Rattus norvegicus: one gene and its partners. The protein of the gene in region 2 interacts with the protein of the main gene of each other region in a pairwise test. Links are inferred from orthologs where the notes say so. Each region holds a gene or a part of one and is shown on either strand. Other genes may lie near its edges. The genes, in order: Ube2k, Rnf185 and Yipf2.

Region 1 (4,336 bases), about 39 Mb from region 2:
AGTGTTTTAGGTTGTATTGGCATAGATACCTACAACATTTCTAGATTTATATCATAGCAAAAATCCTTTGTAGTGTTCAGTTGTTCAGTATATAGTTGACGGTCCTTATAACCACTAGAGGGCTCTGCTATAAGATCTTTTATAATTTATGTCTGTCTACTCAGGGAAAGGCTTTGAGATGTTTCAGAATTTTGAACTCTTAAGTTTAAACAACCTCCTCATTTCACAGACGAGGGAACCGCAGCTGGCAACGGATATAGGAGAGAAGTGGGAGCACTCTTAGACTGGTTTCTCTCGAACTCATGATCCTCCTGCTTCTGTCTCCCAATCTAGGATTACAAGCCTATACCACTACATTCAGCTCGTATTAGTCTTATGATGGAATACTGAACTGATTGATTAGGTGAATACATGAAACATACTCCTAAAATAATACCTTCATTATTTCACAATGTTATTTTCAAAAGTATTCCTCAGCATCTACATTCCGTTATTTGTTTTAAACTCTACTAACCACTTTCAAATAGCCTCTCAACGTTGTTGCTCAATTAAAACATTTTACTCGGTCATCTTTTCTCCACTCAATTATATTCACTCACTGCTTATTGACATCTACGAGCGCCAAAAACCTTTGTAGGTCTAAAGTTCTTTCGGCCTTCTATTTCTCCAACTGTCACTATAAATTATACAGACTTTCACATGCTTAATTCAGCCATTCTCACAGCGTGGTCGCTGAAAAACAGGCAGCAGGGAGTTTGCTCGCAATGCAAATTCTTAGCCCCATCCAGACTCTAGGGATAGGTCCTAGTAATCTAACCAGCTCTCCAGGGATTCCGAGGTGCGTTCAAGTTTGAAAAACATGTTAGTTCTACAGCTCAGCATTGACTATCTAAACAGGTCAAAGATTTAACTTCTGGCTTTTAAACTCATCACAGGCCTGTCCCCGGCAACACCTGTATCAATTACAACCCGTGGGACGCAACCATTACACAACCTTAAAAATCTGTAATACCTGAGATGACCGAATAATAGTTGCGTTATCATGGTTCCAGAACAAAAGCTACGGCAGTGGATATCCCGGGGGTTTACCAACGGACGCTGGGCAGGACCCAGTTCCTGCATAGTTTTTTCCTCCGCTAGACACAGGGAGGCACCTCTAGCCCGTGGGTTCTGGGTCTGGCCGAGTTAGAGCGAGGCTCAGCCCGGCTGGGGCCCCGGGAACCCGCCAGGCGGGGCTCCCACCTCGGGTCCGTGGCTAGGGACTGGAGGCCTCACCGTAAAGGGGGCCGAGGGGCAGGGGAGGACCCCGCAGGCCCAAACCCCGCGGACCGGCACAGAAACCGCACCCTCCTGGCCCCAGCCGCCGGCAGGGCGGAGCCACGCGGCCGAAGCCCCGGCTGAGACGCGCGGCGCGGGCTCGCTGCTGAGACGTATGGGGCTACCACTGGAGCGGCTGCGCCGCCCGCCCGGGTCAGCGTGGTGCGCATGCGCGGACCCGGCGCCATTTTGGTGGCCGGGCGCGGAGGTGATTCTACACTGAGGGGGAACGCGACGGCAAGGGTGGCAGTGGCAGCGTTCGTGTGCTCGGGTCTGAATCACTGAGGGAGGAGGCGGTGGAGGAAGAGGTGGCAGCGGTGGCGGTGGTCGTAGCGGTGGCGGAGGAGGCGGGTACGAATCAGCTGCGGGCAGAGACATGGCCAACATCGCGGTGCAGCGAATCAAGCGGGAGTTCAAGGAGGTGCTGAAGAGCGAGGAGGTCAGGAATGAGCTACCGGACACCCCCATCTCAGCCCAGGGCGGCAGGGCCCTTCCTTCCGCGACCCCGGCGGTCCCAGCCGGCCTCGCTGCGGCCGCCTTTCTGCCTATGGGGAAGCGGCGGTCTCCCCTCCTCCTCCCGCCGCCTTTCCCTCCCCTCCCCGGGCCCTGGGATAGGCGGTCTCGCGGGCGGCCGGCCGGCCTGGGGAGGAACAGGGTTTGGGGGGCAGATGCCGAAGCACTCGTCCCGGGCACGTGAGCTCTAGAGAGAGCCCCGAGGCGGCGGCAACAACATCTGGAAGTGTGACTGTACGGTGGGGAAGGAACAGGCCGAGAAAACCCGGGAAGTGGGTTGGGGGAAGGGGAAAGGTAGTAACTAGATCCCCGGCAGCAGCGCACCTCACAGGCCCACGCTTTCAGGGGTACTGGGGATATTGCCTGCCAGGCCTTTGCTGTCTTTTCCTTGGGGAAGGAGCCTTCACAGTCTTTAGGTATAGACGAGAAGACTTTCAGTTGCTCCCTTACGGTACAGTGCTGGGGGATCTATGGAGACATAATGGGCATTCTTGAATTGGGAAGGGGTGTTGAAACAATTTTCACTATAGATAAAAAAATAATTCCAAATTAGATAGTCATCTCTTTTCTACGTACCCAGCCAGTAAGTAACTAGGCCTCCTCACTGATATTTAAAGCTTTTTGTCTAGTCAAAGGCAAGTTGTTTGTTAATTAAATGATTTGAAATAGGAAGAATAATGGGAGTGTGTGAGTAGCTTATTTCAAAATACTGTTCACCCGTATCAGAGAGGCTCTCCTAGGGTAATGCCTCTGTGACTAGTGTTGTACTGTGAAACTTCATTATGATGTCCCTCATAGTTAACTTGAGTCTTACTTTTAAAAAGAGGCCTATTAAAACCAAGGGATTTCATCAGATACACATTGTTGTAGCTCATTATTGAGTTAGGTTTATTTTTCTGTCACAAAATATATCAGGAAATAGCATATTTAAAAAATAAAACTCTGACTGCCTGTAAGTCCTGCAAATTTTAAGCATATTAATGCTTACCAGATTTATTTATGTGAAATATTGAAAGTAATAATTTTACTCTGCTATAAAAGTGCTAAATCGACAAAAATGCCAGTTTTTCTATGATTGAACTTAACAATTCTGAAAGTAATTATTTTTTTCAAGGTTCACAGTTTTCCTATTATGCTTGCTTGGTACTCTGATAATGTCATTAATGATTTTTAAAATTCGTCATTTTAAGCATATGAGAAATTGTTAGAAATCTTGTAGCTCTCCAGCTTTATTGTGCCCCCAAGCTTGCAGACAATTATCCATCGTTCCAAGTAGACATGAAGAAAGTCACTTAAAATTGAAGTGACAATGTTAGCAGCGTTAGTGAGCATACTAAGAAATACGTAGGGATCTGTCTTACGTAGCATGAACTCTGACCTCTGTATTCATTTGCCAAAACTCTGAATGGAAGGATGACTTTGTATTTTTGTGAAACAATGCAGAAACAATATGAATGACAGTATTCACATTTTTAATGGTGATTTATTTAAACTTTTTCTTTAATAAGCAAACTTAGTTTGGGGTCGTTGTATATTCTTATGTTGTTAACAACCTACAACATGTATTCTATAATAAGGTTGTATGGGTCTTTAGACCTCTCATGCTTTCTTTTATCTAAAAGTGTCAAGTTACTGCCCTGAAAATTGATATACCCTCTTTGCTTTGTGTGGTCTGACTTTTCACCATGGCATTTGGTGTTTAAGTTGAAGATTATCGGCATTTGTATGACTCTAGTAGTACATATTATTACTATTCTACTATTTAACTGATGGGCTGAGTGGCCAGCTCCATTTACTGTTCTACTATTTAATTGATGGCTGAGGAGCCTGATGACCGAGTTCAGATTCAGACCCACATGCTAGAAGGTTTCTCTTTGACCTCTACACCCAAGTGTGCAAATCGGATAAAAGCTCCTCCTCTGGTTAAAAACATTGTCAATGGTTCTCAGGAAGGAAATAGGAAATATGAGTTCAAGAATGGTGCCTTAAAAACCTAGCAGGGAATTCAGTTCAAGGAAGTAAGTTGCAAAGAATATTTTGGAAAAGATCAGATAAAATTTAATATTGTAAAAAACCACAGCCAACAGTTAGCTTTATCCTCACCAGTATTTTATTTCATTTCCCTAGATAGGTTGTGTTGATTTCACCTGAGTGAAGAACCCATAGTGCAGTCTACATATTTCCCTTTTAAGTGCGTAAATATGAGCTTTTTTTTTTTTTTTTTCGGAGCTGGGGACCGAACCCAGGGCCTTGCGCTCGCTAGGCAAGCGCTCTACCGCTGAGCTAAATCCCCAACCCTAAATATGAGCTTTTGAGTAGTTGGTCAAGTCATTAATTCACCGTGTCATACAGGTTTAATTCATTTGGTAGTGTTTTGGTGGGTCTTACAACTTGATTTCCTTTTTGCCTGTTTTAAGTGCCTTTGTAAAGATAACTGACCTGTCAGAGCACACTTTGATCCCAGCACGGGAGAAGCAGAGGCAGGCAGATCTCTGAGTTCCATTTA
Region 2 (3,536 bases):
GCAAGGCCCTGGGTTCGGTCCCCAGCTCCGAAAAAAAGAACCAAAAAAATAAATAAATAAATAAATAAACAAATAAACTTAATGTCCTGAAGTCTGAGGCAGTGGACCAGGAGTCTGAAGCTAGTTTGGGCTATATGGTGAAACCCTGTATTTACATAAATATTTTAATTTAAAAAGAGAAAAAAAGGAAGAAATGTTGGCAGCAGCTCTGTAAGATAGAGGTAACCTTTCCTGAGTAGCCTCTCCATCTTTCCCATTACAAAGAAGTTTTGAGTAGGGCTAGTCTTTCAAGCCACTTCCTGCTAGAAGAGCAGTTTGTTAAATTGGATCTGAAATAATAGGAAACCTATATGTCACGTGTGAGCCAGAGAAGGCCGTGACCCACCTGATGCAGTGCATGTTGTGCGCATATGTATGTGTGTGTGCTTTTGTGCTGTCACATGTTACATGGCAGTGCTGACTTTTCTTACAGAGAATACTTGACTTAGAAACCTTCAGAGACTATAATATCTGAAGGACTAACCTATGATAAATTGTGCTTGGTTGGTTTGGTTTTGGGGGGAAGGGTTCCTTTAAAGTGGGGTTCTGGCTGGAGAATGGAATCGTGTCTCTACTCTCTTCGTTCTCCTGCAGGTTTAGCTTTTTCTTGTCTATGTTGTTCTTTAATTTTGTTGTTGTTTCAAGACAGGGTCTTCTAGAGCCTAGACTGTAAACTCCATTTCACTGTGTAGTTGAGGATGACCTTGAACTCCCTCCCGAGTGCTGGATGCCAGATGTGTGCCTCCATACCTTTTCCTATATGTGATGCCAGTAATTCATGGGAAGCCTCCCTGTACTCCAGTTATCCCCTTTTGATGTCCCTTCTCTACTCGTGGAGTGTCTCTGCTAATGAAAGCATTTTTCTCCTTCTTCCTGCTTTCCTTCCTGATGATTGGCCGCCCTGGGGACTCTGTAGTTGGCCGTGTTTACATCAGGTAAGATGTACTTCATTTTACTTTGTCTTTCATCAGCTAGAGTTGCACAAGACAGCCCTGGTCTCAGGGGACTGCTGTCAGAAGCTGCAATCTCCCTCGCTTCTGCGCTCAGTTGCCCTTTTTATGCACCTGTCTGCTGACCGGTATTTGATGTAATAAGGAGGTCTTTCCATATCTGAATTAGTCCTGGGTCTGCCAATAATAGCCATATAGGCTTGTGGCCACCACTTGCCTGTGTCCCAATGACTCGTTTGCACATGGGTGGACTTGATAGTGTTAGCTCCCTTTTTTTGTTGTTTGTTTGTTTGTTTCAAGACAAGATCAAATGTACCCCAAGTATATCCCACACTCACTATGTAGTTAAGGATGCTGCCTCAGAGTGCTGGGGCTGTAGATGTGCATCCCAATGCCGACTTCGTGTAATGCTGGGAACCCAGGATGTCTTGCTTGCTAAACAATTGATCTGCTAAGTCACATCCTCACCTATTAGATCATTTTTTGTTTCCGAGCTCTTACATTTATAAAAAGATAACTTCTGGGCTGGAGTGCTTACTGCTCTTGCAAAGGGGCCAATTTCAGTGCCTAGCACCTGTAACTCTAGCTCCAGGGGCTCCAACACTTGTGGGAGTACACACACACACACACACACACACACACACACACACACACCAAGATAAAATTAAATCTTGAAGAAATAAAAAGGTAGCTCCTTTCTTATCAGTGCACCTCTGTCCTGAAAGGTCTTAGATTGTTGAGAAGACAGTAAGCCTTTTTTGCTGTGAATTGGATAGCTTTTGCAGAGGAGGAAAGCCTTGTTTTAATGTATTATGAAAACTAGTCAGTGTTCACTAAGAACTGAGCCCGGCATTGGCAACTGGAACAGGTGAACAGTCATAGCCAGATGGCCATTTCCACGGGCGTCAGAGTGCAGCGTCACACTCCTAGGTGGCTTAGAGGGTGTGGGGAGGGCAGGGAGTAGACTGCTGTTTCCTCATAGGGGAAGAAGGAACTAGGGATGAGCAGTCTGACTCACATGAACTTGAGAATAGATTTGCTAGAACATATCAGTGTGAGCGTTAGGAGATCGTGTGACTTAGGTTTTAGAGCTGTTGGCAGGTAGGGAGTGTAGGATGTAAAGTCATGAAATGCTGCTATTTCTGTCTGTCTGAAGTCGTTGACTCACGCTCATTTAATAAACTTTTTAATCTTCATAGCTAGAGATGCAGTTTACATCCAAAAATATATTGGGTGCTGGGCATAATTCATCCACAGTGTGTGTACTGACGATGTGCAAGGCTCTGAGTTTACTCCCTAGTACTGAAAATAAATAAAGGCTGAGAAAATATACATAAGACACCCCTAGTGCCCAGAAAGAGGTCACAGGTTAGGCATGGCAACATACTTCTGTAATCCTTGTACTGAGGGAGCAAAGGACGTGAGGATTAAGGATAGTTCAGCGACATCTTCAGATACATGAGACTCTGCTTCAAAAAGAAAAAAGAAATACACATGTAACACTTTAGATAACGAGCAAACTCTATCCCTTAACACAGTACAAGGTGACCAAAAAATGATTAATGCAGCCAAGTGCTGATGTCAGGTTATACCATTTTTGGGGGAAATGCTGTAAAAATGAGAAGTTGGGAATGGAGGGACAGCTCAGCAGTTAAGAACACGTACTGCTCTTCGAAGGGACCCAAGTTCAGTTCCCAGTACCCATATTCACAGCTTCCTGTAACTCCAGCTCTAGCTTCCTCTTCAGGCCTCCGAGGGCACATACATTTGTTTGCATATACCCTCGCCCTCTACTGACATATACATAATTAAAAACTAGATATGTTTTTAAGAAAACTGAGAAATCACAGAAAGAAAACTGAGGTAATGGGTAATTTGATTGATCCTGAAAGTAAGGTTCCGCTCACACCAGGAGCCTGCCAGGAGCCTCGGGCTTGCAGCTCCTCTGCCTGTCCCCGGAGAGTAACTGAGAGAGAAACTTGTTTAATTACTGTTATTTAAAGGCAATTTTGATTTTATCCCCAGTAAATATTTTTCAATGCTAGAAACAGAAATTAGATTATGGTTCCTAAATGTTCCCACCTCAGGCTACTTCTGCTGGTGTTTCCCACGGTAAGGACAGGGCAGCTTTGGTTCATTCTTGTGTTTTCTCTCACTCACAGTGGTTGGAGACTAGACCTAACAGACAAGTATGTCCAGTTTGCAAAGCGGGAATCAGCCGGGACAAGGTCATCCCACTCTATGGCAGAGGCAGCACTGGACAGCAGGATCCCAGGTAAAGACTTGGTCTGATAGCATGTCCCACTCGGATGGAATGTTGTTTGCTTCTTCTTAGCACTCTAACCCTACCTTTAGTTTGGTGTTTGTTGATGGCTGCTTGGTTTTGAGGCATTTTGACAGACGTGAGAGTCACCTGGGAAGGGTGAGGCCTGAAAGTAGAGGAGCCAGGCTTACCACTTGCTGCTGGCCCGTGTTCAGTAGGCGCTCAGTGTCATCTGCCAGCAAGCAAAAGCCGTGCCGTGTTGGGAAAGCACTTTCCACAGCCTG
Region 3 (4,170 bases), on a different chromosome or scaffold from region 2:
GCAGTGCTGGAAATGCAAGCCAGGAACCCAGGCATGCTAGGCAAATGCTCTACCCTTGAAGTCCATCCCCAGCAACAACAGGCTACACAGCAAAGGTTCCTTATTAGTAGATCTTGCAGCGGTAAGCACAAGGTCAAATGCTTCATGTTCGAAAGCAGTCTTTCAGCTCTTCTGTATCTCTAAGACCAGTAAGGCTCCCAATTAGCTTCGGCAAACAGGACAGACAGAGCTAGAACGTCCCACAAAATCACAACGAGGGTCATTTATCTCTACCCATCTCACCAACTGCACCATCTGTGGCCAACAGTTTGCCTGCGCCTGGGGGCACCCTTCGTTTTTCACCTGGAAACATCGGACTGAACTAGTGAATTAGCCTCGCTCAAAGCTAGCCGATCCTTTTTCTCCTTCTGTAACACCTGCTCCTCCCACAGCGCCTGGTCCACCTGATCGACGGTGAGTATGATCGGCTTGTATTTCTCTTCGAACAGCCTCTCATTGGCCTCTGAGTGCAGCTGGTGAGGCCCGACGACGCGCAGGTGCGCAGGCAGGTGGAGAAACTCGTCGTCGTTGATGTCGCAATCATGCATGCGGTTCTTCAGGACCCACCAGCGGCCTACGAACCCCACGTCGAGGACCCGACCGGGGAAGTCGACCCAGCGTGGCTGCAGGTAGCGGCAGCGGGCCTGGTAGAGGCTGGCCTGGGCGTCGAAGGGCGCTTCGTAAACCAACGAGCAGAACCCCAGGTTCACGTGACGCAGCCGCCCGCGGCCCCTCAGCCACAGCAGGCGCTGCAAGAACTCTTCCGAGTGGCGGTTGCGCGTGGCCGGCGCCAACAGCAAGAGAGAACTTGATGCGTCAAGCAAGGCCTCCTCGAATGCCGCCTCACTGGGCGCCAGCGCACAGCACGCAGCAGCGCCGCCAAGCAGCCCCACGTACAGGGCCGCGCGGCCGGGTCGAGCTCGCGCAGCAGCCGCCGCGTCTCCGCACGCCTCGGCGTAATCCCGAAGCAGCGCGCGGGACCAGGTGCCTGAGGGGAAAGAAGCGCTGCAGTGACAATGATTCAGCCACTTGGGCCACCCACCCTGCAGCCTTCTGCCACTACTCACCCAGTCGCGTCCACAACCCTGGCTTAACCGCCACTGTCGTGGTACCACTTGCCTCTCCTCCCGCTTCACTGCGTCCACGGGACCAGAATCTCTTCAGAGCTGCTGTCATCATCATTTTCCGGCGGTTCCTCAGTCGAGGGGAAACACATAGTGCCGGAATGAAAAGGGCTGGAGAGTAGATCCTGCGCAAGCGCAAGATACAGGAAGTAGTTTCCCACTGGAAGACAATAGGAAACGGACTAGTGCCGGATGTTGCCGTTGCGTCGAGAAGGGTGGGCTCTGACGGGTAGGCGAGCGGCGCGCACGCGCACGGAGCAAGAGCCACGCCAGCTTAGGTAGCTTCAGGTGAGGAAGGTGGGGTGCTTCTGCAGGGCCCTAGCTTGGAGCTGAAGCTTCATTACTCCGTGTGTTAGGCTCCATGCAGGAGTCCAGACGGAAGCATTAGTCTTGGGGAGGGCTGTGGGACTGATGCGGTTCTGTCCACAGAGTGTGATGCAGTGACGCCTCCAAAGAACCATGGCAGCAGCCGACGATCTGGCCTTCCACGGTGAGTGGAGCCCGGAAGTGGTCAGAGCTCCTAGCCCTGTCCTAGGCTAGAACCCTAAGCAGTTGGGTCCCAGACCTCAGGTTCATCCTGCACTCAATTCCCGCTCCTTCCATGAACTCAAAAGGCAAATCACCGCCTCCAACTCTGCACAGGACCTAAATTGAACACCATCTTAGTAGACGAGCAGATCTACAGTCCATCAAAACCGAACCCAGCCCTTAGGGGAGGGTGGTGAGGCAGTCACAGCCCTTTCAGACTCCAAACACCTGTGCCCATATTCCCTCTCCGTAGAGTTCGAGGAAGCTGCAAATCTTCTGGCAGAAACCCCAGATGCAGCAACCACGAGCCAAAGTGATAAGCTGACCTCACAAGAGCATGTGGCTGTGGTTGTGGGTTCAGGCATTGGCTATGGAGCCGAAGGAGAGGAAGAGGATGACAAAACATCAGTGAGTCTCCTAGGCCCCGATATACTCTGCCTCTGTCCTTACTCTGACTAAGCAGGCAGGTTCTGAAAGCCTTTGTCTTATAGCTTCTACAGGATGAAAAGCCACAGCCAAGATTCTGGACGTTTGACTACTATCAGAGCTTTTTTGATGTAGACACCTCCCAGGTGAGGCCTTGGACATTGGTGGTGACGACTTGGAGTTTCTTGGGGTTCAGCCACTATTCTTGGGGACTGAATTTGGATGGGATGGGTATAGTGGGACTGGAAAGCAAAAACTAGGTTACAAAGTAGATGTGGATGGTATGTGTCTTAAAGGCAGTATGTTTCCCAGTCAGACCAACCTCTAATAATAAACCAGGTCCTCTGAGAGGGTACATCCTGGAAATTAGGAGGGAGACCATCTAGAACAGGGAGACTGTCCTTACTTTGTCTGGGAGGAGAGGCTGCAGGAAGCTGAGAGCAAGGTGGCAGGCCTGAAATCCACCTTCACAGTGGGTGACGTGTTCCAGCTTGTTCAGGTAGGATGTGCTGGCAAGACAGTGGATGCCTCTCAGAATGCAGGGGTTCTCATTTTGGACCCTTGGTTTTGTTCTCTAGGTCTTGGACAGGATCAAAGGTTCCCTGCTGCCCCATCCTGGCCACAACTTTGTGCGTCACCATCTTAGAAATCGTCCTGACTTATATGGTAAGTGGGTCTATGTTTGAATCAATGGAGTATTATTCAACATGGGACTGTGCCTGGTCCTGAACAGGGCAGTCATGCACAAAGAGCAGACTTGTGTTTAGTTGAGGGAGACACCAAGAAGGGAAGCAGAAGGTGGTAGGTCTGGCTAACTCAGAGGGTGAGTGGCATTGCTGTCTGGTATAGGGAAGTCAGCAAGGTCCCTGAGTAGGGTCGGCAAATGAGTTATGCTGGCATTGGTGGTGAGAGGCTTAGAAGAGGACCCAGAAAGCTTCTAGGTCCCATGGTGGAAACAAGTGAGTTGCGCATAGTGGCATAGGTCATTGCAGTGGAAGAAGCTGGGAAGTCATGAGTAGGGGATGAGTACATGAGTCCCATATAGTGGTGGGAAGGGATCTTACTGAAGGATTTCAGGATCTCCTCTGGCATTGGAAAGCCAACAAGAGCAGGCAGGGCACAGACATTACATTGGAGGCTGTGAGGAAGAGTGGTTGTTGGTCCTAGAGTATGCCCACAACCTAGAGGACTGAGAAAGGCTGGAGTAGCTTTCTACCCAGTTAACCAACACAGTTGCCATGGGTGGACAGGAAAAGCTGGACAGGTACGAGGAGCAGATCAAGTGTCTAGAGGCCCAGGTCATATGTATGAATTTTCAAAAAATAAGCATGTAAACCCAGGGCCCTGGGGCAGTTTGGGAGTGACACATAAAGATGGAATGCATGAAGCCTCTGGACAAGATCCTGCCCACAGTGGAGAACCACCAAGCCTCTTCTACCTATCTACAGACAGTTTTGTCAGAGAAAAGAGCTAAGTGCTTGAGGCATTTTAGAAGGTATTTCCAGAAAGAGAGGATCAGCCCAGCTGCAGCACTTGTGAGCAGTGACTTAGAGAGTCAAATGGAGTCTGGGGTCTTAGCAGAACACTTATGTAGGACATAGACACCTTTCCCAGGAAGAATGTGCCTGGGACTCCATTTCCCCCTTTGCAGGCCCCTTCTGGATTTGTGCCACCCTGGCCTTCGTCCTGGCGGTTACTGGCAATCTCACTTTGGTGCTTGCACAGAGACGGGACCCCTCCATTCACTATAGCCCCCAGTTCCACAAGGGTAAGCAGAGCGGGTGGGCTCAGCTCTTGGATGCCAGGGTCCAAGGGCATGCAGTGACTGCCCACATTGCATCTCTAGTGACTATAGCAGGCATAACCATCTACTGCTATGCGTGGCTAGTGCCGCTGGCACTGTGGGGCTTTCTCCGGTGGCGCCAGGGCACGAGGGAACGCATGGGGCTGTACACCTTCCTGGAGACTGTGTGTGTCTACGGCTACTCACTCTTTGTCTTCATCCCAACTGTGGTGAGTATGGCTTGGCTCTGGGAAATGCTAGGAGCTACGT

Evidence for each region.
Region 1: the proteins of Rnf185 (region 2) and Ube2k interact in binary tests that used the Homo sapiens proteins (3 or more experiments, as listed by UniProt). The link is inferred for Rattus norvegicus from reciprocal best matches to the Homo sapiens genes RNF185 and UBE2K.
Region 3: the proteins of Rnf185 (region 2) and Yipf2 interact in binary tests that used the Homo sapiens proteins (3 or more experiments, as listed by UniProt). The two-hybrid records come from large-scale screens. The link is inferred for Rattus norvegicus from reciprocal best matches to the Homo sapiens genes RNF185 and YIPF2.

What each region holds. Positions count from the first base shown.
Region 1 is NC_086032.1:43,069,360-43,073,695, reverse strand, and holds the start of Ube2k (ubiquitin-conjugating enzyme E2 K), read left to right. Parts: upstream 1-1,525; 5' UTR 1,526-1,693; coding exon 1,694-1,756; intron 1,757-4,336. UniProt on the Homo sapiens protein: Accepts ubiquitin from the E1 complex and catalyzes its covalent attachment to other proteins. In vitro, in the presence or in the absence of BRCA1-BARD1 E3 ubiquitin-protein ligase complex, catalyzes the synthesis of 'Lys-48'-linked polyubiquitin chains.
Region 2 is NC_086032.1:82,525,935-82,529,470, reverse strand, and holds part of Rnf185 (E3 ubiquitin-protein ligase RNF185), read left to right. Parts: intron 1-955; coding exon 956-974; intron 975-3,151; coding exon 3,152-3,264; intron 3,265-3,536. UniProt on the Homo sapiens protein: E3 ubiquitin-protein ligase that regulates selective mitochondrial autophagy by mediating 'Lys-63'-linked polyubiquitination of BNIP1.
Region 3 is NC_086026.1:28,418,656-28,422,825, reverse strand, and holds the start of Yipf2 (protein YIPF2), read left to right. Parts: upstream 1-1,370; 5' UTR 1,371-1,451; exon of another isoform or gene 1,452-1,456; intron 1,457-1,592; 5' UTR 1,593-1,622; coding exon 1,623-1,653; intron 1,654-1,944; coding exon 1,945-2,099; intron 2,100-2,182; coding exon 2,183-2,263; intron 2,264-2,695; coding exon 2,696-2,783; intron 2,784-3,768; coding exon 3,769-3,885; intron 3,886-3,963; coding exon 3,964-4,130; intron 4,131-4,170. Other genes in the region: Timm29 (mitochondrial import inner membrane translocase subunit Tim29), read right to left, coding at 339-1,027, 1,107-1,221.